Linked DNA regions of Pelodiscus sinensis. The protein of the gene in region 3 purifies or fractionates together with the protein of the main gene of each other region. This does not show direct contact. Links are inferred from orthologs where the notes say so. Each region holds a gene or a part of one and is shown on either strand. Other genes may lie near its edges.

Region 1 (10,495 bases), on a different chromosome or scaffold from region 3:
GAGTGTGATAATCTTGGAAAAATAATATTCTTGGGTGTTGTAACTAGGGATGTAAAAACCACCCAGAATAGTTTAACTAGTTAAATGGTTTGTTTAACCAGTCAACCACAAGCTGCGGGTGAAGGGAGCTGCTCTGGGCCATGCTCGCTGCAGCCATGGCTGGCATGGGCTGCTCCTTCCCCACCACAGCTGCAAGTGGCAGGGACTGCCATAGCTCCACCATGGATGACAGGAGCTGCTCCAGGCCCGCAACGTATCATGGCCCTGCTGACTGGGCTGTCATGTGGGGGAAGCTCTGGCTAACTGGTTAGCTGGTAAAGATGCTGGTAAGGCATATGTTGACCGGTTACCTGGTTAACCTTTCATCCCTAGGGCTGTGTCTACACTGGCATGAATTTCCGGAAATGCTTAAAACGGAATACTATTCCGTTTTCAGTTTTTCCGGAAAAGGAGCGTCTACATTGGCAGGCTGCTTTTCCGGAAAAGCCCTTTTTCCGGAAAAGCGTCTGTGGCCAATGTAGACGCGCTTTTCCAGAAAAGAGAGCCGATCGCCATTTTCGCGATCGGGGCTTTTTTCCGGAAAAGACTACTGGTCTGTCTACACTGGCCCTTTTCCGGAACAGTGTTCCGGAAAAAGGACTTATGCTCGATTGGGAGCAGAATAGTTTTTCCGGAATAGTGGCTGATTTTGTACAGTAGAGCATCATTGCTTTTCCGGAAATTCAAGGGCCAGTGTAGACAGCTCGCAGCTTATTCCGGAAAAGCGGCTGATTTTCCGGAATAAGTGGCCCAGTGTAGACACAGCCTAGCTGTAACAGGTGTGAACTTGTATGTAAGACACAAGAAATACCTGGCATTTATGCATCTCCTCATTTAGTTGTCATCATCCTGAAGTTCTTGCCTATTAAAATGCATATATCCCAGAATCTCAGAGCTGGCATTTCACCAATTTGCACAAGGCAGGCAGAGTAAGTGCCCCTGCTTAGAGGCAAGAGATCAATGGTCGCTGGGTTTGGAGTTGGTAAATCTGAGCAAGCTCCCAGGTAAGCTGTCTGACTCAGACAGGCTTGGCACAGGTGCCCCTACATTCAACCCAGATTGCTTCCAACCCAAGGCTCTGCCACTGAGGTCATCTCAGCCCCTCTGAGTCTAGGGGGGCACAGAGCCAGAGCCATTATCTCGGGGGAGGGGGGAGCCTAGATGCAGACTGACCAAAGCCAGCCTAAGTGGGCTTTGCAGGCCCCAGTTCGGGCCTAGTTGGCCCAATGTAACCCCGTCCCCTAGTCATTCCCACCCTGCCTCACAGGCTGGACTATACAAGGACCAGCTGATGTCAAACCATTGCATGTCCCAGGACCCACCTTTTATTGGTTGCTGGTGAGAAGGGGCGGTGCTTGTTGAGGCACCTGAACTACAAATAGCAGCAGCCGCATCCCCTACTCCCCTTTCCTCTGTGGCTTGGTGTGGGAGGTGAGTGTGGTGGAAGATGGGCCCCAAGCTGCTTCAGGTGCTGGGGGTGGGTCCTCCTCATGGGAGCCAAGAGGAGAAGTGAGGATTGAGGTGTCCTGGCGAGGCTGGGGACAAGCCTTTTGCTCTGGTGGTGAGGGGATGGATCAGGTGGGTCTGAGGTGTCCTGCTTGGGGTGGAAGGTGGCAGCCATGGCGGGAGGGGTCTGACCTGCCAGTGCCGGCTGCAGTGATGATTCTCCTTACACATTAGAACTTCTGACGTGGATGAAGTGAAGCTGAGTCTGAGCCCCCAGTGTCAGGTCCCACGGGCCCACTTTGCCCACAGCCTGTTTCTGCCCTGTGGGGCCTGGCCCCATCCCCACACATGCATCAGGCCCACGCACTGGGGCTGCAAACCTCACCAGACTCCTCCTCTTCGCAGGTACCTCAGGAGCCAAGTGGCGTCCTGCTGCAGTCCCTGGAGAGCTCCCGCCTGAAGCGGCCTAGTGCCCACTGACCTGCACTTATAAACAGCAACAAAATGTCTGAGCTGGTTTCCTTGCTGAGCTGCGTGGCGCTGCCTTTGAGTGGGTGCAGTGTCCCATTGACAGCTGCACGGGCTAAGCAGCGGTGCAAGCAGAAAAGCTTGTTTGTAACTGGTGTTTCTTGGCTAAACCCAGGAACATCAGGATGGGACTGGGGCGATGCTGAGAGCTCACTTGAAGATCATCCTTAAACTGACCCAGTCGGCCCTGCTGGGTGCAGGAGTGGGCTGAAGGTAGGGGAGAGGGTGGCCTAATGGATAAGGCATCAGCTGAAGGTCCTATTTGGAAATCATGGGAGGGTGGGCAAAGCCCGCCCACCTTCTAAAAGCCCCTCCCCAGCCTTACGGGAGGGACACTGGACCCATGTCCAATTAATTGCTTGGGACAAATAATGACAAAAGGGTCAGGGAGTGCGGGCTAAAGGTTCAAAATAAGGGAGCCGGATGGGGACACCGAGCAGAAAACCCCGGACAGCGCCCACTGCTCCTCAAAGCTATCGAAGGAGCCAGTGGATGCCGCCCAGAGGAACTCTGCCCGGATTCGTGAAACCAGGGAGGAACGGAAATAGGCCCCACAGTCGCAGAGAACCCCCTCGTCCAACATCCTGCTCCTGGTATTATAGATGGTGGTCTTTGCTAGGGCCAGGAGCATCAGCTGAAGGTACAGTGGTGAGGTGGGTCCCAGTGATCTAATGGATAGGGCATTAGCTCCTGCAATTGTGGGTTCAAGTCCCACCTGTGTCCCCACACACCCAAAGGCTAGAGCACCACCACCATCTTCCTGCTGGTGAGGAAAGAAAAGCCTTCAGGGGAATGGCAACCTATGGATATGCAACCTGGAGGCTTTCCCCACTGCTCCTGTTAGTCGGTGCTTCCCCCCATCCATAGAACCTGGCCAAGACCCCTGCCAGCTCTTGCACCCTCCATCCTGATCAGACACCCCTACATCCAGCAGGGCTGTCTCAGGACAAGGTGGAGGGCAGCTCCACCTCCTCCAGAAAAGGCAGGGCTGAGGGAAGTCAGTCCTTAGGACTGGCTGAGCTTGGTCCAGCCCCAGCCAGGTAAGGTAATTCACCCCAGAGCCCCTCACATACTTTACTACCGTTCCTTGCCTCTTGCACCCTCCCACACACCCTGAACCCCTCATGGATCCCAAACCAGACTCCAATGTTTCATTTATGCTATTATTCATCATGTCAATTATCAATAATATTAAGTTGTATATTTTCAGGCATTCTTATATGGCTCTTGACCACTTATTCTGAATGTTGATGTAGTTTGGCTCTTTGGTTGGAAAAGTTTGCCTATCCCTGCCTCATCCCCTACCCTTACAGGATTCTGAAAGTCGAGACCCTGCATTCGCAAGATTCTTTCTGCTGCAAGCCCTTTCATTTGGAACAACATAGCACAGTCCTACTCTTCTGTATTCCCACAAAATTACAAACCTTGATAATCATATTTCAGCTGTCCTGCATTTAATATAAACATAGCTGGTGTCGGGTTACAAATTAAGTTGATTACGATGAGCAAAATACCACTCCCTATGCTGAATGTCCCAACAAATCTAAGCAAAGCAGAAGCAAACTGTATTGACGTAGACCAGTGGTCCCCAACCTTTTGAGGCTGCCGGGCGCGTCTGGGGGTGGGGCTGTGCATGAACCATGCACCCAGTGGTGGGGCCGCACCTGTGCCATGTGTCTGGGGCTGACGCCGCGCGCCTGGGGCAGAGGCTGAGCATGCACCACATGCTCGGGGTGCAAGAATGGCTTGGGCCGGCCCTGGTCACTCAATGGGTGCACATAAATGCCCCAGCGGGCGCCATGGCGCCGGCAGGGACCACTGACATAGACCCAGGGTCTCTCCCCGCTTCCAGCTAGCTGTCATGGACGCATTCCTTCAGATCTTACTTATATCAAGACAAGAAGTAATGGGCTTAATCTGCAGCAAAGGAGATTTCAGTTGGGTCTGAGGAAAACCTTCTATCTATAAGGATAGTTACACATGGGAATAGGCTTCCAAAGGTGGTTGTGAAATCCCTGTCACTGGAGCTTTATAAGACCCTGGTAGACAAACACCTGTCAGGGACGGTCTGGGATTCTTAAACCTGCCTCAGCTGGAGGAATGGACTAGATGACCTCTTCAGGGTCCTTTCCAGCCGTAATACGTGTCTATGACTCTGCGCTGGTCAGCATTGCCCTTCAGCAGAGGAGTCAGTTGAAACTAGAGATGGCGATGCCGGGGGAACGATGCTGCAGCCCCGAAAATGCTGGTGCCGGAAACACCCTCGTTGTCCCAAAATGAAGGTGGTGGTAATTAGGGTACGGCTGCACAATGTCAGCTGGGATCCCTCAGCAGAGCCTGGGATAAACCCTGCCACTTGCTAGTTTTTTCCTTCCCCGTCCTCTTCCCTACCAGTCTGCCTTCTGCTTCAAAAATCAAGCCAGCCAAGCCTCTGCAAGGTGGGAGGCAATGAGAGTCCCAAGGCATGTGAGGAATCTTGAGCCCTCATCCTTATTCTGCTCCCTCTCTGCATTATCCTCCCTAATTCTGCCTCCCAACCCTGCAGCAATTACCTGCACTCTCCACCTCCCTACCTGCCACATCAACCTGGGAACTCCATAATGGCTAGATGTCAGCAGGCAGGAGCTGAGAAGGAAGACAGAGAGTCCACCCACCTGCCTGGAGCCATCATCCTTAGTGGCTTGGAGGAGCAAATGCAGCTTGCCTACACCTCTGCTGCAGTTCTAGACAACTACTTACTGTATTTTCTTCACACAACACACAGTCAACCAGTGGAACTCATTGCCAGAGGATGTTGTGAAGAGCAGGACTTTAACAAGGTTCAAAAAAGAGGTAGGTAAATTCATGGAGGATAAGGATAGCCTGAATTTGCACAAATGGTGTCCCCAACCTCTGTTTGTCAGAAGATAAGAATGGGGGACAGGGATTCCCTGTTTTGTTCATTCCCTCTAGAGCACCCGGCATTGGCCAGTGCTGGAAGACAGAATATTGGGCTAGATGGACCATAAGTATGGCCAGTCTTATGTTGTTATGTTTAAAAATGTGAACCAAAGAAGTCTGATTACTCAAATATTGGTTATGAAAGTTGATTTTGATAAATTATTATAACTTATGTGAATGTTGTACTGAAATCTTAAGCAAGTGCATCTTGGAAAAAATCCAGATCTTATTTTTTTTCCTCCCCAAACATGTTGCGTTTCCTTCCCTTTGCCTGAAAGTGACACATTTCAAATGCTGAAGCCTACATTCCACTTCTAAAATAGATACTTTCACCCACGAATGCATGTGTTTAATTATCAGTTTTGCGCAATCCATGTTGTGCACGTGCTGAGACCTGTTTGCATATGCTTATGTAATTCTGACAGGCAGAACCAAGCCTGGGACCTCTAAAGCTTAGTGCATGAGCCTCTACTGAGTGAGCTAAAAGCCAGCTGCCTTTCAGGTAAGGTTGTAGAGTAGACTGAGTCTCTTCGTAAGTGGTCTAGCTGCCTCTAGGTGGGACAGTAGACCACACACATACACATTTGCATTTTGAAACTATGGCCAATCATTTTTTCTTAATACTTAAAAGCAAACAATGTATACAAGGGATGTAAAAGCCCTTTTAACCAGTTAAATGGGATCCCACGGGTGGGGGCCCCTGAAGCCCGGCCAGGCTGGAGCAGCCCTCCCCCTGTGGTGTGTTGGGCCTGGCCAGGATGGAGTAGCCCCTCGCATGCATGGTGTAGCACAGCAGACCTGGCTGGGCTGAAGCAGCCTGACCAAGCCCAGCAAGCCTTGGGCTGCTCCAGCCAAGCAAGGCTGAGACCACTGCAGGCAAGGGGCTGCTCCGTCCAGGCCGGGCCCACTGCGCCATACCAGATGGGGGAAGGGGCTTCTCCAGCCTGTCTGAGCCACCAGTTAACCAGTTACATCTCTAATGTATATTCAGGTTTTCCTGAAAACTTCCCACTGTTGCTCTCACATTAGTAACATTCCACTAATATTAGAGAAGTGTAAATTGATCACTGACCTTTTCGCTACTAAGTCCTCTACTCCCAATTCAGAGATGCTCAGATGTATTGGTGAAACTGCTAGCAATTTATTTGCACTGGAACATGTTGTACCTGCATTCAGCTGGAGTACAGGTGGGAGATTTCCTGAAAACCTTCGTTGTAGACAAGGCCCTAATAGTTTTGCATTCATAGTATCCAAGCTCCTGAAAAACACAGTTGCTCTGTAATATATCTGGTTCAGCTGGTTTCATCCCTCTCCCAGTGAAAATCATTTTGTAAATGTAATACTGTATTTAAATGCAATTTCAGTCCTGTTGCATAATGTGTAGTTGACCTAATTACATATCTTTAATCTGTACAACTAAATGAGTTTTCTAAGCAGTTTTCTAAGGGATAGCATATCACTCTAATCTTCCCATCCCACCACTCAGAGTTGTTCTTTTTGCACTGCAATTTGTTGGCTTTCCAAATGCTGCTTTTTATAAATGTGGTGGTAGTGTTGCCTAGAGAATAGAACACTATTACACTGAGACAGCTCTGCCCACTAAGCTGAACTTGGGCATGTCACTTTAACCGTTCTGTGCCTCAGTTTACCCAGCTGTGCAAAAGGGGTAACAATGGCATTCCAGTTTGATTTACACTAATCCCTAGCTTTTACACAGCTTGGTAGGTCAAAGCCCTTGGCAAAGGAGGTCAGAATTCACACAGCTGCTGGATCAGCCTGTGATCCTGGCCCAAACCTCTGCCTCAAGCCATCACACCTCCCAACCACCACCTTGGAACTGGCTCTGCATTGAACAGTAACCAGTCCGCAGTACGCATGTGCAACTTTCATCTCCAGGACTGACCACTGCACATGTGCAGCTCTCCCCTTCAGGCTAGCGACACTGCGCATGCTCCCTCCTATCTTCCTCCCTTCCCTCCTACCCCCCAGCGCCTTTGCGTAAGGAGAATTCTCGCCTCAACACGCTCCAGTTCTACGCGCAGGCGCAGAGTGCGGGGGGACCCTCCTCCCCACTCCCGGCCCGTGCGCAGGCGTAGTGGCAGGATCTTACCCCGCCCCGATTCTGCGCGCAGGCGCAGAGGTAGGAGCTGCCCGTGGCCAGTGCGCAGACTCCAAGGCCATTTCCTGGATCGCTTGTCAGTGCCGGGCCCCGCCGGCCGCTCCCTCTCCCGCCGCCCGGAGCGGAGTCGCGTTGACTGACCAGAGTCCGCGAGTCCCGCTCCGCTGCCTCCTCCCCTCCCCCCTTAGGTAAGTGCCGGCGCCGCGCTCACCCCGAGCCCTTCCAGGCCCCCTCCCCTCAGCGAGTACCTGGGCCCGCCCACTTGCCTCACGCGGGGGGGGCGACGACCGGACCCCGCCCCCTCCTCCCCATTCTCCTTGCGGCGGGGGGGTTCGACTGTTCCCAACGGCTGCGGGGTGGGGCAGGGCACTGCCGAGCGGCGGGGCTGACCCCTCCCCCCCCCCCCCGCTGTCTCTCCTCCCTCCCCCCCCCCACTCACCGGGGCCGAGGTCTCGGCGCACCTGTGCGGGGAGCCGCGGGGTGCCGGGGCCAGCCCTCCCCAGCGTCGAGGGCGAGCCCCGCGCGCCCGTGGCAGGAGCAGCAGGGGCACAGCCTGAGCGAACAGCTTCTCCTGCTGTAACGCCGCCTGTATCCGGGCGGGAGGGTCGTTAGCCCCGGGAGAGGCCGACTTGCAGGGGCAGTGAGCTGCAGACACCGCCCTTCCAGGAGGGATGCTAGAATCTTTGTCGCCGTGTCACCCCTGAAATTGTCAGTCTTTGCGTCGGGTGGCAGTCGGCTGCCCTGGAGCTGGGGTGCAGAGGGGGAGCCAACCAGCATGTTGCATGTACTGGTTCCCGCCTGCCCCCCCCCTGCACTGCTGCCTCTGATACAGCGACAGCAATGCAGGGTGGCAGGCTGCTCCCTGAGAGCCGGCGTTTAAGCCAGCTCCCCCACAGGAGCCTGCTTGTAGGTCTCATTGGTTAACTGTCTACATCAGTGGTCCCCATCCTTTTCAGGTTGCCGGGTGCCAGGGGGCGTGGCCGTTCGCCCGCCGGGCGCCAGGGGGCGGGGACACTTGCCCGCCCGGGGGCGGCCCCCCCCAGCCGCATGCCCGGGGGCGGGGCCCCCCCCATAGCCACGCACCCGGGGAAGGTGCCCCCCGGCAAGCGCCGCGCGCCCGGGGCCGGTGCTCCCCCCGTAAGCGCCGCGGGGCCGGGGCCGTGGCCAGGGCACGCGCGGCGCCCCCGGGGTGGGGCCAAGGCCGGAGCCGGCCAGGGCACGCGCGGCGCCCCCGGGGCCGGGACCGGCCATGCGTCCGGGGCTGGCACCTGCCAGCCCAGATTGCTCCGCGGGCGCATGTAAAGAGCCCGGCGGGCGCCATGGCTCCCGTGGGCACCGGGTTGGGGACCACGGGTCTACATGATTGCACTTTCCACTTTCACATCCCTACCTTCCAGGTGACTTATGTGATCTGAAAGGAGATTGGCGGGGGTTAAAAAATATTTGTTTGGCACTATATCTGGATTCTCAGGCAGTATTCCTACTCCATGGTTGTTGGGAATAGCCCTGTAGTGTATTTGCTGTCTTAATTAGGGAATGACAGCAGCCTAATACTCTTCACCCTGTTATCTCCCCCCTTCTCCCTCCAAAAAGGAATCTGATACTGTATTAAAAACATAAAATTCCCAATTTTAAATTTCCAGTTGATATTGGAAAGCAAAGATTATTACTCTGCAGTTATATTCAGTAGCTATCTGAGGCCAAGTGCCTAGATAACAAGGTTAACTAGGGTGATATATTTCCTGTGGGGGATTCTCAAATTAGTCTGACAGGCAGGTATTGGTATTAAAAGTATTGGTAATAGGGATGTAAGCGATTAGTAGTCGACTATCCAATAAATATAGTTGCTTCCACTCCCCCTTGCTGCCTCTGTCATAGAAAGGCAGCAAGGGGGGGAACAGGAGCCGGTGCTGGGGGGTGCACCGGTTCCCACTGTGGCTGCCTTTATGAGAGGCAGCAAAGGGGGAGAACAGGAGCCAGTTCTGGGGATGCCACCGGTTCCCCTCAGCGCCATCTCCAGGGTGCCACCTACTCCCCCTTGTTGCCTCTATCAGCTCTGGCTGCCACAAACAGGGGTTGGTGCCAGAGCAGCCTCTATTTGTGACAGCCAGCCTTGTCCACCACGAACGGAGGCTACATCAACACTAGGCCCTGTTTGCAGCAGACAGGGCTGCTGGGCTCAGTGTGAGCCGAGACCGAGCAATACTGGCTTTTGCTGATTGTTGTGCCTCTGCATTTTAAATGTAGTAAGAGCCTGACAGCTCTTACTACATTTAAAATGCAGAGCTACAGCACAGGTGGCTCCTGGAGTCAGCACGAGCCAGGACTGCTCAGTCCCGGCTTGAGCCTGCTCCTGAAGCTACCCCTGCTGTGGCTCTGCAGAGCAGTCCTATCGACTAATTGGATATTCGATAGAATTTGTATCGACTATACAAATAGCTGGATAACCTCATTTTAACATCCTTAATTGGTGGTTGAGAACTGCACTAAACACCTATCAGTAATATCAAAGTGCCAACTTCACTAAAATGTGGATTAGTGTCTTTGTCCTTCAGTGAGCTCTTTGGTGATTAGGAAGAGTATGATTAAAACATTTTATTGAATTGAATTTGTATTGAATTGTTCTTGACTCTCCTATAAGTTGAAAGTTAGGAAGAGGATATTATAGTTATCAAATATTGGTGAGAAGTATTCTTTGAGAATATTTTCTCCCAGCATTGCTTTCTCTTGTGATTAGTTGGTCATCCAATACAGAATGCTTGTCACTAATACAGGTGATCCAATGTCTGTCTTATGAATACGATTATTGTGCCAGAGAAATCTAGTTATTTGGAAAGAATGGATGATACCTTTTCTCTTGATTCACTGAATGGGCATTTTAAGTTAATACTGTGTTTGGGGGAGTTTTTCTAAGGTGAACTAGAACTGTTTTTGTATTTGAGCATCTATTTTTTCATACCAACCTGATGTGTAGTCTGAAGCTTAGAAGTAAAATCTGTGGGCTAGATGTTACTTTTTCCACAGAAGAACTACATGCTGGGGAACATTATCAGGATTGTGCTAGAAACAGTGTTTTGAAATAAGTATACTCATTATTTTTGGAAACTTTTCTGCTTTTTATTTCTGAAAGAGTAGAAAGGGCTGAGCAATCCTGTTGGTTTAACCGCTCTTCAGTTTTTCCTGTATATGGAAATTTACTGCTACTGTGTGTTGGCATGCACTAAAACAAGAACATGATCAAAAAATTGCAGACATTTTGTATAGATTAACAAATGGAATCTCATTGTGCCTGTCCAAGGTGGGAGATAACTTGGATCCCTTTTAATTAAGGAGAAGGTGGTGATCTCGCCCTGTGGTAGGACTTCATAAAGCCTCTCCAATAATAGTTGTGTGCTTTATTAGAATATGGATGTTAGAAGAACA
Region 2 (9,891 bases), on a different chromosome or scaffold from region 3:
ACTGCTTGCTGGGCTCTTAGAAGACATTGAAAGTGTTGGTAATGCTGCCAAGCAATATTAACCTCTTGTGGTTTGGCAAATTCTCTGGCTCCTGAGGATGCCGGACTAGAGAGGTTCAACCTGTATCTCAATTTGGTAGGTCTCAGGAGTTTGAGGGAAAAGTCAGGGGTCTGAAATAAATAGTATCTCATCTGCAGTTCAACTTAGTGGCGATCCTGTAGAAGACTTTGCAGATTTGCTTAGCAGACCTGTTCTCCTTGAGTAAAATATTGTAATCTTGAGACAGAGCAACATTTTAGGGGATATAGAACAGTTAAGTATTAAGTATAACTATTTACTATAAATGTTTTTCTTTAAATTTACAGTTTGTTCATATCAACAACTTAAAACTCATCTGCAGAGCACATCAGCTAGTACATGAAGGCTATAAATTCATGTTTGATGAGAAGCTGGTAACAGTATGGTCTGCTCCAAATTACTGTTACCGTTGTGGAAATATTGCATCAATCATGGTCTTTAAAGATGTAAATACAAGAGAACCAAAGTTGTTCCGTGCAGTTCCAGACTCAGAACGTGTAATTCCTCCTAGAACAACAACACCGTATTTCCTTTGAGATCTTTTCCCCTCCTACTGTTCCCCCATTCCCTTGTACTATCCCTCTATATCCTTTTTATTGAGCACTTTGCTGCTGAAATGCTGCCTCTTGCCTTTTTTTTTATTTTTAAATTATCTAAATGTATTGTGTATTATGGTGTCTGTAGCAGTGTGTCTAGACTTCCTCCTCCCCCTCCATGTGCCCTCCCTCCCTCATTTGAGAATGCTTGTGAAATGTCTGACATGTATTCTGCTGCACATAGTTCTTGTATAGTTCTGTTTTCAGGTGAGACATTTTTCCCTTTACAAAAAAAAATCATAATCGGAACTATTTTGATCCCATTATATCATTCAGGTTTTTGTTTGGTAAGTTTAAAGAAATTTCAGCAGCAAAGTTATTGCCTAGTGTGCACGATGGGACTGTAAATGCATTGTGCTGTGTACACACGTACAAGATGTAAAACTCAATTGTCCTTGTTAGATCTTGTTTTAAGTGAATAGAAAATAAAATGGTCTAAAGGGCTGTCTCTCCCTCCCCCCTTTTTTAAGGATTCCAATAAAAATACAAAAAACTGCTACAGCTATTGAATTTGTACATTATAATAATTGTTCTGATTTGTCATATCTTGTATTTTTAATAAAGTCATATCTTAAATGAAACCCACCTCCTAGGTTAAATATTGCAAATAAAACTCCTACTTTGTTGATGTGAGCATGTCTTCTTTCCTCCTCAGTAAGAACTACTTTGGCTATCAATTATAGAACTGATCTTAATGTTACGATACTATGTTTTGGACACAAACTTTAAAAGAGTGGTTCTCTTCTGAAAACTGAATGTATAGAAATGACATGATTCATTACAGCCACTCCTTGGATAGATGTCACTTACATACTAAAATAAGTTATTGCTTGTCACTTCTGTTATTGACTCTGCAAATACTAATGTAGCAGAGACACGAGCTGGGTCCTGTTCTTGCTTGTAAATTAACAACATTGTTTAACCTTGTTGTAACTGTAATAGCTTAGGTTGTTTCTGAATACCACACCAATCTTGGCTTTGATTTTAGGTAAAAGGGATATTTGTACAATGGATTTGATCTAGAGGTCAATGAGAAACAAATAGGGAAGTCCACAAAACCACTCTTGAAATTACTTTTCAGAGGAGAACTTAAGCAGTTGTGCCTAAAATACCTAATTCCATATTGAAATTTTGGAAAAAGCCACAGTAGTAAAATCGCAATATTAAGCATCTAATAGTGTCAGCAAAGATTCAACAGCTGGAAAGCAATTAGAGTTGGCAGTGGGTAAACAGGTTCCTACCAAAGAAAATGTTGAGATTTTAATTTATAAGTTTTAATTCTTGAGTGCAAGTAAAAACACTTCTGAGTCCAAGACTGCGGTCTTGAAACATAATTTAACTTTTTGGACAGACTCTTATAAGTCACAGGTATGGAACAAGTCCTGGCACTACCAAAGGGTTCTATTGCATTCTTACTCAGTTTACAGTTTGTATATTTATAGCATCTCTAATGGCTCAAGTTAACAATCTCACTGGGATTTAAGAATGTGCTATTTCCCTTTCACTGTCACTACTTTCCTAACATTTCAGAAGTATTCTGGTGAAGCCAGGCAAAAGTAAAACAGTTTATGTAGTTTTGAACATACATGCTCTTTTCATAGGATAACTTACTCTTTAACAATCTGATCTTTTTGACTTCATATAAATGAAGAGCAAGGTACTAAATTTATAAGTAGATCTGGCAAGGATCATGGGACAGGTAGACTCATTGGATTCCTATTGATCTCACATGTGGTACAGAAACCCACAAGTGCACTTTTCTTGGATTTGGACCTTGATTTCTATAATTTTGTAAATGGTATAAACTGAAATAGAAGCACACACATTCTCTGAAGACTTTTCTTAGCTTTGTTGGGTCAACAGTTGAAATATCCATGCCTTGAATCTTGGAATAATTTGGGAGTTGGGGAGGAGGATTTTTGTTTTACAAGAATGTGAATCTGACAACTATAATTGTGGAACACTGGAAATTCATTTACGTCTTGATATGTGATTAAAATTAATTTTGTTTACTTGAAACTCCTCTTGCACCAATTCTGTCTTACATTGTATATTTATACTTAAAAACTGGTCTGGTAACACTTTACAGACTAACAAAACCTGTAGATGGTATCATGAGCTTTTGTGGGTACAGGCCACTTCTTCAGATAACCAGAGTTTTGAGTTTAGGATGTGCAGACCCAAAATAAATAAGGGGGAAGGAAAAAAAGAAAGGTGGGGGAGGGTAGGAAACAAGGAGCAGAGATTATGAAAAAATCAAAGGGAAAAACAGGAAGGCAGAATAGGCAATCAGTAATTACCTGAAGATTGGATAGTTAAAATAAAGCAGATAAGGATCAAAGTCAGTAGGGGGGGATACTAACACAAAAATCTACCTAAAGAGCTGTTTGCACCTTCATTGAATGTTTGGTTGGTAATGGCCCAGCCATCCCTCGTCCCAATTGAGCCCATTAGCATGAGAACTGAACTTGCAGATGAACTGTAATTCCAAAACGTCTCTGTGTATTTCACTGGTAGAATAAATAGGCCTGAATACCTATGTCCTAACACCATTCAAACATGGAACTTTGTTTCTGGGTCAGTGGTGGACAATAATTTTGAGGGGGGAGCACACCTAAGAATTTGGTAAGTGGTCAAGGGCTGTACTCTTCCATGAGATTAACGAAAGAGGGGTAGAGTCTGCTATAGCGGTTGGGTACAGAAGAGAGCTCAAGGTAGGAAAATGGAGTGCAGAGTCCAGGAGCAAGGATGGGTACAAGAGAAAATTGTGATCTGGGACAAGGGTACAGAGGGTGGATTATGACCTGGGGCATTGAATTGGGATGTAGTAGAGGGGGGGGTGTCCAGTAGAGGTGCTAACTGACAGGCACTTACCTTAGGTGGCTCCAGGCCAGCAACCCACTGGGGGACTCTAGCAGGCTCCCTGCAGACCATGTCCCCACATGCCACTCAAAGCCCCTGGCTGTGGGGACAATATGCTCTTTGTAAGCTGTGCATCCTTTGGGAGACAGGGTGTTGCCTATGCCACAAGCATGGCCCAGGCAGCTCCCATTGGCTGGTTTGCAGCCAATGGGACCTGTGAGATTGTGCTGGGGGTGGGGACAGCATGCAAAGAGCACATGGCCCCCACAACCAGCTGCTGTGAGCAGTGTGCAGGGAAACAGCAGGCAGGGAGCCTCCCCAAGGCTCCCACTGAATTGTGAGACGGTGGCAGCCAGATGCGGTGGTTTGGTGGGCCAGGCTGTGGGCCGAATTTTGCCTGCCCTTGTTCTAGACCAGCGGTTCCCAACCTTTCGTAGCTGGGGACCCATTTTGACAATCAGGAAGACTTGGTGACCCAAGGCAATTAAAAAATGGAGGAGGACAGAGACACTTGGCAACCCTTTTGAAATGTAATGGAGACCCATATTTGGGTCCTGACCCATAGGCTGGGAAACCCTGTTCTAGACTGACCCCCTCAATTGTGTAATGCTCAACTCCAAATGGTATTTCTGTAAACTGTTATGGAAGAAGTGGTGTGATTATTCTAGGTGCTGCCACTATCTCAGCTCATGCATGTAGTGTGATACCATTTACTGATCTGTTAATCTAGTAGATACACTTCATTTACAGCAGGTTCTTTTTAGGGCAGTAATTGTATTAAAATGACAGTTTTCAAGTCTTGGATAAAACTGTACCTGAGTGGTGGCTTCTCTGATCCCTCTACAGTGTCCAATTATGTCTTCTCTATTACACAAAAAAAAAAAAAAAAAAGTTTGCATGAGAAAATGTTGGAAAAATCAATTGATCTTGATTGCATTGATATTATTGTTAGACTGTCATGAACTTAACTGTTTTCTTGTATCTCCAAGGCACAATTCATTTTCTCAAGAACAGAGAAGCAAACTGAAATGCTTGACAGGAGAAATGAAGACTTTTATTGGAATTGAAACACAGCTTGGGGGTGGGGAGAACCTCAGCAATGGGGAGTAGCATGTAATTTCTTCATTCATAAATCTAGCTGCAAGAAGTCACAAACCACCTTCTTCCATATCTTAAAAGGAAATGTCCATTTATGAGATGGTTGAACCTAGTAGCATAACTTTAAAAGGAGGGCAGAGTTGAAATGGTTTGTCATGTAATTAAAATATTTGGTATGTGGACCTGGCCACGTAAGGAGCTGGGCTACCGTAGCCCTACGCTTGCTATGGTTTAATGTGGTTCTCAACTTTTTTATTCTAACCTGCCCACCCCCCCACGTAGAGTTGCCAGATGAGTTCAACAAAACTACCGGACACATGTGACATTGCATCACAATCTACATTGCATCGGATTTAGAAAATACCCGACACTCCCATTGTCTCCGTGGCTGCGGCTAGATTGGCATGATTTTCCGGAAATGCTTTTAACAGAAAAGTTTTTCGTTAAAAGTATTTTCGGAACGGAGCGTCTAGACTGGCAGGGCACTTTTCCGCAAAAGCACTGTTTGTGGAAAGCGTCTTTGCCAATCTAGACGCGCTTTTCTGCAAAAAAGCCCCGGTCGCCATTTTCGCCATCGGGGCTTTTTTGTGGAAACCAAATCAAAGCTTTGCGCAAAGGGGCCTTTGCCGAAGGGAGCAGCCGGCATTCCCGCAGGAAGCCCCATTCAGACAGTGGGGAGTCCGTGCTCTTGCGGAAATCCAGGCGGCCGTGTAGGCAGCTGGCAGGTTTTCCGGAAAAGCGGCTCGTCTGGACACAGCCGGGTGTTAACCGGACCCTTGGGACACGGGCCTGCCGGTTCCACCCGGACCCCCCCCGCAGACACAAGCCAGGGCGCGTGCCCGGGGGGGGGGCGCTCCGGCTCCCTGCCCGCGGGGGAACAGCTGGCCTGGCGCCAAGGGCAGCGCTCGGGGCGGGGCTCCCTGCGGCCGGGCCCCGCCCCCCCGCGCCCCCCGCACTCCGCCCCGCCCCCACGGCCGCCTAGCCCCGCCCCTCCCCGCGTCCCCGCCTCACAGCCGCACGCCGCCCTCGTCCTTCCGGCTGCTGCAGACTCCCCCGGGGGGCGGGGTTTCCGGTTCCGCCCCTCCCGGAAGCGGCGCGCGGCAGGCGGCGGGCGGCTCGCGCCGGCATGGCCCGGAACACGCTCTCCTCGCGCTTCCGCCGCCTGGACATCGACGAGTACGACGAGAACAAGTTCGTGGAGGAGCCGGACGAGGCGGCGGCGGCGGAGCCGGACCCGGGCCCCGAGGTGGAGGCGCTGCTGAGGCAATATCCTTGCGGGCGGGGCCGCTCCCCCCCCGGCAATGGGCTCTCCTGGCCCAGGCTCGTGCGCCTGTGGGGCCCCTCCCCCCCCGAGACCCGTGCTCCTCCCCCCCTCCCCCGCAACGGGCTGGGCCCGGGGCTCGTGCGCCTGTGGGGGCCCCTCCCCCCCCGAGACCCGTGCTCCTCCCCCCTCCCCCGCAACGGGCTGGGCCCGGGGCTCGTGCGCTTGTGGGGGGGGGGCCCGCAATAGACTCGGCCCGAGGCCATTCCCCCCCCCCCCCCCCCCCCCCCCCCCCGCAATGGGCTCTCCTGGCCCAGGCTCGTGCTTCTGGGCATTTGAGTGAGTCACGAGGTGCCCGGGGCTGCTCGCTCGTTCTACTGTTCTGCGTGGCCCTGGGTTATATGGCAGGTCTGAACAGCCCTGGGCCTCGGCCGCAGTGTGGGCTTTGCTGGCTCCATGGACTCCCAGGGAGTGGGGTCTTGTGTTTCAAAACTTTGGGAAATGAATGTTTCACAGAGACTGATTGGACGAGGTTAAATAGCTCTGCGCAATTTGAAAATGTGTACAGTTGGAGAGGTATAAAGGGTATAATGTAACTGTTCTGCGGTATTCCATAATGCTCCTAGGTAGGGATGTGCCCAACTAGTCAACTATCCAATAAACAAATGCTTATCAGATAGTGGACACACTAGTGGATTAGTCATTCCCTTCTCCCCCTCCCCCTGTCAGAAAGAGGTGTGGGGGGGGAAGAGAGAGAGAGAATGGCAGGGGTGCTTCAAAGTGGCAGCACTGTGTGCAGCCTGGGGCAGTGCTACATGGAACCCAGGTTCAGCCGGGGACTGCCCTGCTGACCCTGGGCTCAATGTGGTGTTGCTGCTTTGAAATGCTGCGTGATGCCTGATGCTAGGCTCCCCATGGCATTTCAAAGCAGCAACGCTACATGGAGCCCAAGGTCTGACTCCAGTCTCCACGTGGCACTACTGTTTTGAAAAGCCATGGGGAGAATGGGGCCAGCGGGGCACTGCTTGAGTCCTCCACTGGACCCATGCTCCCCACAGTGCTTTTGCCTTTGAAGTGTAGCAATAGTCCTTGGGGTGTTGCTACACTTCAAAGGCAGATGCACCCTTATCAATTAATCAAATAGTCTATGCAAATTGCATTAACTATTCAATTAATGTCCCTACTCCTAGGTAGGACTCATTTATATTATAATTTACATTCTAACATCTGTTAAAGTGCTAAAAATGCGTGGATCCCTAAAATATTATCCAAATCCATCTCGCCTTTTCATCTGCCTTTTGTGGTCCAACTTAATGAGTTCTAATCACATCACACTCTTTTTACATGACAAATATTCATACTTTTCTCATTTGTATGTGCTATTTACAAAACCCAGAAAAGCAAGCAGCAAACATAAAAAATGAAAGCATGTCCCAGACTATGCTTTAATTTTGATTAAGATTGCTATCTCTTTGCTTATGGGGTTCTAATCAGATCCTGAAATCTGAAAAAACCTGAAGTACGATTGCAGGTACTACATTTGCATATTGCACCACCAACAGACCTACTAGTTTAGCAGCTTAAGAAAAGGGATTCTGTGGGACCTGATAATTTTTGTAGTGGTGGTTGTAATTTTTAGTTTATAGTGGATTGTTAAAAACATTGGAAGCAAATTTAGTTACCTAATACGGGTTGCAGACAGAAGTGGATAGAGAACCTTATATAGAAGGAGAATGTTCCATTGCCTCATCCCATTTCTGAAACAATTTTTCAAGTAGGACAGTATGTTTTGAAGTGAGTTAATTGAGCCAAACGGATATAAAAATGCTTAAAATAACTGTCATCAGCCACACTGGGACCTAACCCAGATTATTCCTTTTATTAAAATGCCTATATAGAAGATGAAAGCAAGAAAACGACTTGTTTTCAAATTAAGCCTACAGCAAGTATGTGTTTGTATGAGGTGAGCTGGATGGTCTCTGACTGGGAGTGATCTTCAGGAGAAATAGTAGTTTTAGTTTGTGCATCTTAGAAAATACCAGGTGGAGTTGTGCAGATCTCTCCAAGGTCACCTAGAGAAAAGCGCATGATAGCCTGGGTCTTCCACCTGCAAAAAGGGCACAAGCTTGCACCCATCACTAACGTACATCAATAGTGACTGCTTTACCACATGTGGAGAAGACAAGTTCATTCTCCCCATTCACTGCTTGACTTCTCTGCTCAGACTGTTAAAAAAATAATTGTGGTGGTGTCTGGGATGTGGGATTTGTCTTTATTAAGGATCTGGATTAAGCCTCACCAAATCATTTCAGATAGCTGCTCGGACCAATCAGACTTGGTTTCTAACAAAACTGGATTCCAGTCTGGCAGCGAAAGGTGATGGGCTCTGTTTCTCATTACCAATCCTCTGAACTCTCTTGTACCTATATTTTGTAGTTAAGATTCCTTTACTGTAAAAATTAAATTAGGTATCAGGCCAATAAATTATTCTGTTTGTATAATTTGATTAGTAACTAGTTTCAGTATGTGCTGACTCCTTTATATGGATCAGAATGCTTCCTGAGCAGAAGCTGACCCTTAAGTTGCATTCTCACCAAATAAGATAAAGTGCATCCTGGAAGACTTCTGAACAAGTGTTAGGAATGACTGGATTAACTACTTTATGGTGGGATTATTTTTGAAACCAAGTATGAAGTTGATAACATAGTTTTGGATTGGTATGTATTTCAGAAAGGAGCTCTGCTATTAAGGAAGTAATTAGTTCTTTACCGTCCTGCTATTACTTGTATTTATAAGCATGAGAAAAATAAATAGCAGATAGTTTGAGAGTTTACCAGTTATAGTTGCAAGTACATCAAGCTACTTTTTAGGTGACCTGTCCCCATGAATGCCATTCTTATTCGTCATACCTAGGACTGAGCAAATGACAGTGTTAGGTTATTATGTTGGTTCCACAGGTCACTGTGTGAGTAACTAAGAAAAAGAGTTTCCTGATTTACAGAATTTTAAGTTTTGTGGTGAATGAGGTTTCTGTTTTTATAACTGAAGTCTTGTCATTTTTAGTTTAACTGACAGGAAATCCTGTCAACTCAGATGTGAACAATTGCTTTAAAAACTGTAAGTGAAGAGGAAATTGACCTTGAAGCAAAATAGTACTTGTTTGCAATCCTTGCTGTATTGTTGGGCTTTTGCTGTTTAGATTTGTGGTCCCAAGCCCTGAAACTAATTAGATAATTGTAAAAGATAAATCCGGTGGGGGGTTTTGGCATTTTTATTCATGCTTTTTAATGTGTATTTAATTGTCTGATGCCTGTGACTTTCTGTACAATATAGAATTCCCCAAACTGCCTAGCTCCATTACCACAATCTGACTTACGTAGACAAGCTAACATCTCTTCATTAGCAAAGCTCAGGCTTCCACATTCTCCTCCTGGTTTTTTTAATGATGTTTTCTGAGTTTCTCTACTGCATTTCAATATCTTTTTCTGCAAATCTACAGTTACACTTAAGATTTGCAGAAGACAAATTGGGATGTTTCCCAAATGAGGTAAGCATTCATTCCCTTTCATAAATAGATGGAATCTGAATCTTTCCCATGCTTTCAAATCGCTTAGAGTACAACTGAGGCTCTACTATCTCTAGCTAGCTTAGGCTGTTCCTTGCACATCTATGTTGTTAAATCCCCTAATTTTCTCTCTACATACTGCTCAATGGAGAGATTTTTTTTTTTGGTTGACTCTTCTTACATGTTTCCTTAATTGCCCATAGCAGATGCTCAGGCTTCATTTTTAACACATTTGATATTTTCATCATGTTCTAGGGATGAGTTTGAGATAAGGAGTTGTGCAACTTTTATTAATCTTGGCATTTGTAATAATTCCATTTAATACTTTGTGTCTTCCTGGGCATGTGCTTTCAAAGGCATTTAGGTATTTGTCTGTAGCTTTGGTGGATGTTCAGCCTCTGGAATCATATGCAAGGTGGAAATAACATCTA
Region 3 (10,386 bases):
ACACAAATAAGCAGCGCAGATAACCCACAAAGCACAGTCATTGTACTACGGCGAAGTGTGTGCTGGGAATATGAACAGATTCTGTGTGGGACTCAGTGATCGGTGCTGGCTCTCCTGGGTTCAATTCCTCACGTCTCCTGCTTCAAATCTTTCAGGCACATGTTGATCACAATCCCCACAGAGTTAACACATTTGTATGTTTCACTGGCAATTATTTTCCATGTATCTAAACAAAACATCTACTCCCTGGATCCCTGCCGGCAACCAGTGCACTCATGTGGCTTCTCAGCACTTGCGTGAAACTTGTGTGCTCGCAGCGATTCCGTGCACGCCAGCAGGTGGCAAGCGCCAGTGGTTTGTGGGTGTTGTGTGTGCAGCCATGCAGACCCTGACACAAATAGATCGTTTGCATCACCACAGATTCTGAAGTTTGTGAGTGGATCTGGTGGTTTGTACCCATGTGGCGATTCTGTGCACCATCAGATTCACGGTGCAGGACTGGAGTCCTCCTGTCAAGATGGGCACACGGATACATACTGTATGCACATCCTGGCCGCTTGACTGAGTCCTGGGCATACAAATGAAAGCATTGAAATAATATGGATCCTGGACATAGCTACAGATCTCATGCACTGATGCTGCATTGTGGTGGCACACGAACAAGAACCTGTGCGCTCTTTGGGATTCTGGGCACCCCAGCAGATGTGTGCACTAATACTGATTCTGTGCACACAAGCTGACCCTGTGCGTGACTATGCTTCCTGGATGCTAAATGGAACCCAGCAGACCTGCGTACTAATGCACGTTTCACTTATACAGAAGCAAAGTGATATTTTCTGTCTTATTCTCTGTCCCTTCCCTAACGATTCCCAACTTTCTCTTGGCTTTTTTGACTGGTGCTGCACAGAGTGGAGGTTTTCAGAGAACTCTCCACAGTGACTCCAAGATTTCTTTCCTAAACTGCTAATTTAGACCCATGATGTCGTGTGTGTAGTTAGGGTACTGGTTTCTAACGTGTATTACTTTGCATTTGTCAGCACTGAACTTCATCTGCCACGTAGTGGCCCAGTTCTGTCAGACCCCTTTGTGACAATGTATAGTCAGCTTTGGACTTGCCTATCTTGAGCAATGTTATATCATCTGAAAATTTTGCCATCTCACTGTTTACCCCCTTTTCCAGATTATTTATGAATAGTTGAAGTGTACTCCAGTCCTCTCTCCATTCTGAAAAATGGGCGGTTTCTTCCTAGCCAATTTTCTGTCTTTTAACCAGTTACTGTTCCATGAAAAGCCTTTCTCTCTCACTCCACAGCACCTTTGCTTTACAGCCTGAGAGTCCAAGTACACAATATCCACTGAATCCCCTTTGTCCACACAACCCCACCCCACCCCACCCCACCCAAAAACAAAAATTCTTATGGGGGATCCTATGCCCACAAGTCCGCCCCCTGCACTAGGCCCCTGCACTCCTGCAGGCTAACAGACTCCATGCACTAATTTGAATTCTGTAGGCTTATGTGGATCCCGTGCACACAGGCTCACTCATAGCACATCAGCCTATCTGTGCTATCCATGCACGAATTCGGATTCGGCAGGCTCCCCGGGATCCCGTGCACACCGGCCCATCCCTGTACGAATTCGGATTCGGCAGGCTCCCCGGGATCCCGTGCACACCGGCCCATCCCCTGCATGAATTCGGATTCGGCAGGCTCCCGGGATCCCGTGCACACCGGCCCATCCCCTGTATGAATTCGGATTCGGCAGGCTCCCCGGGATCCCGTGCACACCGGCCCATCCCCTGCATGAATTCGGATTCGGCAGGCTCCCGGGATCCCGTGCACACCGGCCCATCCCCTGTATGAATTCGGATTCGGCAGGCTCCCCGGGATCCCGTGCACACCGGACCATCCCCTGCATGAATTCGGATTCGGCAGGCTCCCGGGATCCCGTGCACACCGGCCCATCCCCTGCATGAATTCGGATTCGGCAGGCTCCCCGGGATCCCGTGCACACCGGCCCATCCCCTGCATGAATTCGGATTCGGCAGGCTCCCGGGATCCCGTGCACACCGGCCCATCCCTGCATGAATTCGGATTCGGCAGGCTCCCCGGGATCCCGTGCACACCGGACCATCCCCTGCATGAATTCGGATTCGGCAGGCTCCCGGGATCCCGTGCACACCGGCCCATCCCCTGCATGAATTCGGATTCGGCAGGCTCCCGGGATCCCGTGCACACCGGCCCATCCCCTGCATGAATTCGGATTCGGCAGGCTCCCGGGATCCCGTGCACACCGGCCCATCCCCTGCATGAATTCGGATTCGGCAGGCTCCCGGGATCCCGTGCACACCGGCCCATCCCCTGCATGAATTCGGATTCGGCAGGCTCCCGGGATCCCGTGCACACCGGCCCATCCCTGTATGAATTCGGATTCTGCAGGCTCCCGGGATCCCGTGCACACCGGCCCATCCCTGTATGAATTCGGATTCTGCAGGCTCCCGGGATCCCGTGCACACCGGCCCATCCCTGTATGAATTCGGATTCTGCAGGCTCCCGGGATCCCGTGCACACCGGCCCATCCCTGTATGAATTCGGATTCGGCAGGCTCCCGGGATCCTGTGCACACCGGCCCATCCCTGTATGAATTCGGATTCGGCAGGCTCCCGGGATCCTGTGCACACCGGCCCATCCCTGTATGAATTCGGATTCGGCAGGCTCCCGGGATCCCGTGCACACCGGCCCATCCCTGTATGAATTCGGATTCGGCAGGCTCCCGGGATCCTGTGCACACCGGCCCATCCCTGTATGAATTCGGATTCTGCAGGCTCCCGGGATCCCGTGCACACCGGCCCATCCCCTGCATGAATTCGGATTCGGCAGGCTCCCGGGATCCCGTGCACACCGGCCCATCCCCTGCATGAATTCGGATTCGGCAGGCTCCCCGGGATCCTGTGCACACCGGCCCATCCCTGTATGAATTCGGATTCGGCAGGCTCCCGGGATCCCGTGCACACCGGCCCATCCCTGTATGAATTCGGATTCGGCAGGCTCCCGGGATCCCGTGCACACCGGCCCATCCCCTGCATGAATTCGGATTCGGCAGGCTCCCGGGATCCCGTGCACACCGGCCCATCCCCTGCATGAATTCGGATTCGGCAGGCTCCCGGGATCCCGTGCACACCGGCCCATCCCCTGCATGAATTCGGATTCGGCAGGCTCCCCGGGATCCTGTGCACACCGGCCCATCCCTGCATGAATTCGGATTCGGCAGGCTCCCGGGATCCCGTGCACACCGGCCCATCCCTGTATGAATTCGGATTCGGCAGGCTCCCGGGATCCCGTGCACACCGGCCCATCCCTGCATGAATTCGGATTCGGCAGGCTCCCCGGGATCCCGTGCACACCGGACCATCCCCTGCATGAATTCGGATTCGGCAGGCTCCCCGGGATCCCGTGCACACCGGCCCATCCCTGTATGAATTCGGATTCGGCAGGCTCCCCGGGATCCCGTGCACACCGGCCCATCCCTGTACGAATTCGGATTCGGCAGGCTCCCCGGGATCCCGTGCACACCGGACCATCCCCTGCATGAATTCGGATTCGGCAGGCTCCCGGGATCCCGTGCACACCGGCCCATCCCCTGCATGAATTCGGATTCGGCAGGCTCCCGGGATCCCGTGCACACCGGCCCATCCCCTGCATGAATTCGGATTCGGCAGGCTCCCCGGGATCCCGTGCACACCGGCCCATCCCCTGCATGAATTCGGATTCGGCAGGCTCCCGGGATCCTGTGCACACCGGACCATCCCTGTATGAATTCGGATTCGGCAGGCTCCCCGGGATCCCGTGCACACCGGCCCATCCCTGTATGAATTCGGATTCGGCAGGCTCCCCGGGATCCCGTGCACACCGGCCCATCCCCTGTATGAATTCGGATTCGGCAGGCTCCCGGGATCCCGTGCACACCGGCCCATCCCTGTATGAATTCGGATTCGGCAGGCTCCCGGGATCCTGTGCACACCGGCCCATCCCCTGTATGAATTCGGATTCGGCAGGCTCCCGGGATCCCGTGCACGCCGGCCCATCCCTGTATGAATTCGGATTCGGCAGGCTCCCGGGATCCTGTGCACACCGGCCCATCCCTGTATGAATTCGGATTCGGCAGGCTCCCGGGATCCTGTGCACACCGGCCCATCCCTGTATGAATTCGGATTCTGCAGGCTCCCCGGGATCCCGTGCACACCAGCCCATCCCCTGCATGAATTCGGATTCGGCAGGCTCCCGGGATCCCGTGCACACCAGCCCATCCCTGTACGAATTCGGATTCGGCAGGCTCCCCGGGATCCCGTGCACACCGGCCCATCCCTGTACGAATTCGGATTCGGCAGGCTCCCGGGATCCCGTGCACACCAGCCCATCCCCTGCATGAATTCGGATTCGGCAGGCTCCCGGGATCCCGTGCACACCGGCCCATCCCCTGTATGAATTCGGATTCGGCAGGCTCCCGGGATCCCGTGCACACCGGCCCATCCCTGTATGAATTCGGATTCGGCAGGCTCCCGGGATCCTGTGCACACCGGCCCATCCCCTGTATGAATTCGGATTCGGCAGGCTCCCGGGATCCCGTGCACGCCGGCCCATCCCTGTATGAATTCGGATTCGGCAGGCTCCCGGGATCCTGTGCACACCGGCCCATCCCTGTATGAATTCGGATTCGGCAGGCTCCCGGGATCCTGTGCACACCGGCCCATCCCTGTATGAATTCGGATTCTGCAGGCTCCCCGGGATCCCGTGCACACCAGCCCATCCCCTGCATGAATTCGGATTCGGCAGGCTCCCGGGATCCCGTGCACACCAGCCCATCCCTGTACGAATTCGGATTCGGCAGGCTCCCCGGGATCCCGTGCACACCGGCCCATCCCTGTACGAATTCGGATTCGGCAGGCTCCCGGGATCCCGTGCACACCAGCCCATCCCCTGCATGAATTCGGATTCGGCAGGCTCCCGGGATCCCGTGCACACCGGCCCATCCCCTGTATGAATTCGGATTCGGCAGGCTCCCCGGGATCCCGTGCACACCGGCCCATCCCCTGTATGAATTCGGATTCGGCAGGCTCCCGGGATCCCGTGCACACCGGCCCATCGCGCGCACGAATTCGGATTCTGCAGGCACCACGCTCCGCCCCGCGCACGCGCACCAGCGGCCCCCCCAGCCCCGCCCAACCGTAGGCGGCGCGCGCAGCGGCCCCCGGGCCGGGGCCGGAAGTGACGCGGGCCGCGGGGGGCGGGGCCCAGAGCGGAAGCGGCGGCGCAGGCTCGGGCGGGTCCCCGGTGCGCGCAGCGGGCTCGGCTCCCTCCCCGGCCTCGGTCCCTCCGGCCCCCCCCGCCCCGCCCCCCCGCGGCGCCGCCATGATCCTGCTCGAGGTCAACAACCGCATCATCGAGGAGACCCTGGCGCTCAAGTTCGAGAGCGCGGCCGCCGGGTGAGGGGCCGGGGGGGGCACTTCCGGGGCCGGGGGGGGCGTCGGGGGGGCACTTCCGGGGTCGGGGGGGCGTCGGGTCGGGGGGGGTCCCCCTCCCTTCTGGGGTGGGGCCCCCTCTCTTCCCCCTCCCTTCTGGGGTGGGGCCCCCTCCCCCTCCCTCGCGGGGTGGGGCCCCCTCCCCCTCTCCGCGCCTGGTCACCGGCCCCGGGGCAGGTGGGATCCGCCCCCCAGTCTGGGCCGCCCGCGGGTCCTGCGCTGCCGGGGGGGGGGGGGCTTGTGCTCAGGCTGGGGGGGGCTCAGGCGCGGCTCCCTTCCGCGCAGAGCGGGCCCGGCCGTGCTTGCTCCGCGGGGGGGGGACCCGGCCTGGTCTCTCTCACTTCTAGTCTGTGCCTCTTGGGTGACTGGGGGTGCGCGGGTCAGCGCTGGCTTGCGCCAAGCGGGGCATGCTCCTGTCGGCTTCCCCCCGCCAGCCAGGCGCTGGCTGGGCCGTGCAAAGCAATAGCGGTAGAAACGTAGCCGTGTGAGTCGGGTGCGGCGGACACAACAAACAGGCCTGTGTAGCACTGTCAAGACTAACAAGATGGTTCAATAGCCTCTTGCAAAGGGACACGCTCCTCTGTCGTCCTTGGGCGCTTGGGGATAAAAGAGGCATCGGCGCAGCCCCCCGGCTTTTCTTAGAGCCTGATGAGGTTTTGTGGGCTGCACGTTACATAGGTCTAAACAGCTTTTCTCTTCCAAGCATTTAATGCAAAGGGTCCTGCCCAGTATGTGGCAACCATGTTCTACACTCAGTCCTCCGCTGACCCTGTGAAAGCGCAGCTACCGCCTGGCCTTCTCGAGCAAAATACTGTCTGTTGGAGGTTGTGTGTGTCTGAGTTGCTCATTTGTCGTGAGGCTTCACACTCGGGAGCTCTTCCTGTTGGAGGCAGCTTGGAGGACGTGTATCACTGTTCTTATCTAATAACATGACTACAGCTGAGGTTGCAAAGTACAGCCTTCAGACATTCGTTTGCCACATTACCCGAAGATGACCATTTACTCATTCTGTAACAGTTGCAGGTTTCCATTCTGCCCTACAAGGAAGCGTCACTTCTGCACTGACCTTCCTTGCATGCAGGACCCAACAGTTGGTTCTACTTATCTCAGTATCTTGGTTTGCTGATGCTGTCTGCCTTTGCTTTATATTAATCTGAGCATTGCTTTTGTGTGTTCAAAGTGAATCAAACAGACTTTATTGCTGTACCTTGCTCATGGTGATAGAAGAGAAGAAGTTGTAACTTCTGCTTTTTTTTTTTTAGTTGATACTAAGGCGCTCTTGTTCAGACAAGAACAGGGGCAAGACAAGGATATGAAACATTCAGGGATGTCTTTTTCAAGCTGTCATGTGTCTCATAAGTCACATGGAGTGGGTGTCAGTCTATACATTTATTAGTTTGTGATCTCAAAATGTGCTCTGTTGTTCAAAGTCAAAGCACAACTCTGGTGTTAGAAATGTAGCCGTGTTAGTCCGGTGTAGCTGAAACAAAACACAGGACTATGTAGCACTTTAAAGACTAACAAGATGGTTTATTAGATGATGAGCTTTCGTGGGCCAGACCCACTTCCTCAGATCAAATAGTCCTTTTGGAAAAGGGATATTTGTCCATGGTGGGATCTTAAGATCTATGGGTGGCACGGATGGCATTTGCTTTATTCCATTTTAGCTGTTGTTTTTTCAGGCAATGTCTTGTGAGGCATTTTAGGATGGTTGTGATGAGGGCAATATCACGAGACTTTGGTAACAGGAAAAGAATCAAGTTAGGGCATCTTACTGGAAGTAATCGTTTTCCCACTTTTTTCCAAATAACTTGAGCAAGTCCTGAGATGCGTAGAAAGGTGTGAGAATACCAACTAGTGTAGAGGCAGTTATGTGTAATGGTTAGGATACAGGACTGGGTATGAGGCGCGTGGGTCATAGTTCAAGCTTTGCCACTGGCTTGCTGTATGACCTTGGTGGTGTCACTTACTTTAGCTTTGTTTTCCCAGCTCTAGAACATGGATAATATCCACCATGTATAAAACTTTCAGAACCTGCCCTGAAATACTTTTATAGAATTAGAAGTGACTTCTGAAATCCAGCTTACTGCCAGTTGAAGATGTTTATAGAAGGAGTAGGGAACCGTTTTTGGGTTGGGGGGCCGCTGACCCACAGAAAAATCAGTCGGGGCCATACACAAGTGAGAAGAGCAAAAAACCCCAAACCCTCTCTGACCTGGTTCCCAGTGAACTGACACTATTTGCATTCCCCTTGCACACCAGAGCCTGGGGAGGGGGCTGGTCTAGTAGATTTTGTGTGCTCTAATCCTGTGGTGCCAGCATGGGAGAGGGGGGAGTCCTGAGCCTCGGGGACAGAATCCAGGCAAGCCAGGAGGCTGCATCTGGCCACCGTACCTTAAGTTCCCCACCCCTGATTTATAACCTCACTTGTGTACATAGGACTTTATTAGAAAGGCTGGGCAGCAAGGTCCCTGCTCTGAGATGTGTACTGTGTAAAGATGTGATCCTGCAGAACATGAGTTGCTTTTACTCCTGTGGAAACGATCACTTTGACAAGCATCTTAAAAGACAGGTTGGCTAGCACTTGACAGGCCTTGTATTTCTTGCCAAAAAGAATCTTTCCCTTCCCTTGGAAGATCTTTAGTTCTTGAGAAGAATTTACTGATCTGGTTTCATATATAACTGAGCCCCTCTCTCTGTCTCCCACTCAAACCATGAGAGCTGCCAAGTTGCATGAGGTTCTTGCTGGTTCATTACATCCACCCACCAGTATGCGAGAATTCCAGAATGTCAATTCCTGCATGTTCCCTATAAAGAAAAACCTGTGGAAATGATGGAATCTGTGACGCCTTTGGCAGCCAGGACAAAAATGCAGCCATGCCATCTTTAATGTTGGGTTTATAGGGCCTTTAAAAGCTGTTGCCACAGAATGTATTGCACTTATTACTGCATACATGTCACTTGAACGCCTCTGTTGCCGGACACTGTTGCATTTTCTTCATCGGAACACTTCAGCCTTTGTGCCCTCCAGTGAGAGAGCAGCCCTGGGAGCAAATGTTAATGTTAACTGCTTTCTTTCATCCCCACACCTTTAAAATGGTTTTAGAGCTATTGGCACACTGCAGGGTGTGTGTTTCAGAGTTTCTCTGGGGTGCTTCTGTTGAAGAGTCTGCTTTAAATCATCTTAGTTATATTGTCTTAAATCCCGTTAGCAGGAATTGTAGTAGAATCAAATGGAAGCGTCTCTGGGCAGTCAGCATGTCTCAAACCACACTGAGCACGCTTTTGGTGGTTAGGACAAACGTCTGAATGCTAGCCAGAGAACGAAATATGCTAGCCAGCATTATTTAGACTATTGCTGGCTTAGATCCCTGTGTGGTCCAGGCAGGGCTTGCAATAGCTGAGTGGGTAAGTGGGATTTTTGAAGCCTGGACTTAACATTATCATTCTCTCTGAGTTCCACAAGGCCAGCAAGGTGAATGCTTGCCGTGTGTCTGCTGCAAAGCAGAGAGGAAGTCTGTGAGGTTATGGCACACTGTATGTAATGAAGCAAGACTCCGGATATGTGCACTACATTTCTTTGGTCGTGCCACATCCCAGTGCACTGAACTTCTGTTGTGCCTTTCAGCTGAGGATCTCAGAGCATTTTATGAACAAGTCTCTGTGACATAGTGGGGGGGCTGTCTGCTCTGTAACCCGGTGTCCCCCTACGCTGTGATGTGAGATTCCCACTGGCTCACCCACATGTGTATTAGCCCAGACACCTAGGCCCAGCCTGAGCAGGTAACAAGGCTCCCCCCCCCCCCCAAGGGAGGGAGGCAGAGACGAACACCTGGTTTGGGGGCAGGGTCGGAGAGTGAGGCAGTGGCTGGCTGGGAAACATGAAGGAAACAGCCTTAGCTGAGGGTCATGGGGTCTGAGGCATCCTGGCCCTGACTCCTAAAACCACATAACCTCTGTGCTGTGCTGTACCTCGGAGAAGCAATAATCCTTCTCTGTTCTACTGTCTGGCGGAGTCTGTTCTTGCTGCTACAGGGGTGCAGGATTGGGGGAACCCCAACTCACTGTCACAGGTTTCTATCTCCACCTTACAAATGAGGGGAAATACTAACAATTGGAGAGGTGCTGTGGCCAAGATCTAAACATGGGTAAGTGTCAGAGCTAGGAATAGAATAGTCCCAGTCACCTAGTCTAACCATTAGACTATGCTTCCCTCTTTGATCCTGCCCAGGATGTGACACCAGTCTCTGAAAGCTGTATCAGACATGAGATGCTATCTTACCCCTCTCGGGCAAACCTGTACATAGTCCCCAGTGATTACAGAGCAGTGTTTTGTCCTGTAAGGCTTTAAGCTTTGAAGTAGCTGATCTTTATCCTTCAAAATTTGAGATGAGGTGATACCTGTGCATACCTCTGCCAGTACCCACACTGACCTTTGTGAGCTATGCGCTCCTTCAGTCAGACTGTCTGTGTGGTTAGTCGCCAAGTCTGCATTTGCACACTCTCTTGCTTAACATAGCACATTAGAAGCCTGTTTGAATAGTGATCTGTTCTCTCCTTTGAAAAAATTATTGTTGCATCCTACTGCAAACATTTGCAGCCTGAGGAATGAGGCTGAGGAACTTGTCTCACTTAGGGATGTGAACAAGTTGCCGGTTAACTGGTACCTGGGTGCAGCTCAGGTGGGAGGTAGAGAGCTGACCGTGCGGCTGGGCTCAGAAACAGGATCCCGCTTACTCGGTTAACCAGTCAAAGCTAAGGTTTGGCCAGTTAATTGATTAACCAGAATTCTACTTCCCTTGTCTGAGTCAAAACTGAGGAAATGCTATTGGGTGAGGATTTGCGGTTAAGTGCATGGTGGAGGCTGC

What was found.
Region 1: the proteins of ARPC2 (region 3) and ARPC1A purify together in Homo sapiens (affinity purification with mass spectrometry; 8 studies listed by BioGRID and IntAct, counting the BioPlex papers as one, with this or other methods). This does not show direct contact. The link is inferred for Pelodiscus sinensis from reciprocal best matches to the Homo sapiens genes ARPC2 and ARPC1A.
Region 2: the proteins of ARPC2 (region 3) and ARPC5L fractionate together in Homo sapiens (co-fractionation; 7 studies listed by BioGRID and IntAct, with this or other methods). This does not show direct contact. The link is inferred for Pelodiscus sinensis from reciprocal best matches to the Homo sapiens genes ARPC2 and ARPC5L.

Annotation. Positions count from the first base shown.
Region 1 is NC_134726.1:31,936,953-31,947,447, forward strand, and holds the start of ARPC1A (actin-related protein 2/3 complex subunit 1A), read left to right. Parts: upstream 1-5,431; 5' UTR 5,432-5,455; intron 5,456-6,025; exon of another isoform or gene 6,026-6,211; intron 6,212-7,089; exon of another isoform or gene 7,090-7,260; intron 7,261-7,511; exon of another isoform or gene 7,512-7,676; intron 7,677-10,495. UniProt on the Homo sapiens protein: Probably functions as a component of the Arp2/3 complex which is involved in regulation of actin polymerization and together with an activating nucleation-promoting factor (NPF) mediates the formation of branched actin networks.
Region 2 is NC_134732.1:24,989,899-24,999,789, reverse strand, and holds the start of ARPC5L (actin-related protein 2/3 complex subunit 5-like protein), read left to right. Parts: upstream 1-5,672; 5' UTR 5,673-5,760; coding exon 5,761-5,901; intron 5,902-6,676; exon of another isoform or gene 6,677-7,963; coding exon of another isoform or gene 7,964-8,002; intron 8,003-9,891. Other genes in the region: PPP6C (serine/threonine-protein phosphatase 6 catalytic subunit), read left to right, coding at 366-614. UniProt on the Homo sapiens protein: May function as component of the Arp2/3 complex which is involved in regulation of actin polymerization and together with an activating nucleation-promoting factor (NPF) mediates the formation of branched actin networks.
Region 3 is NC_134717.1:1,291,991-1,302,376, reverse strand, and holds the start of ARPC2 (actin-related protein 2/3 complex subunit 2), read left to right. Parts: upstream 1-5,328; 5' UTR 5,329-5,408; coding exon 5,409-5,482; intron 5,483-10,386. UniProt on the Homo sapiens protein: Actin-binding component of the Arp2/3 complex, a multiprotein complex that mediates actin polymerization upon stimulation by nucleation-promoting factor (NPF).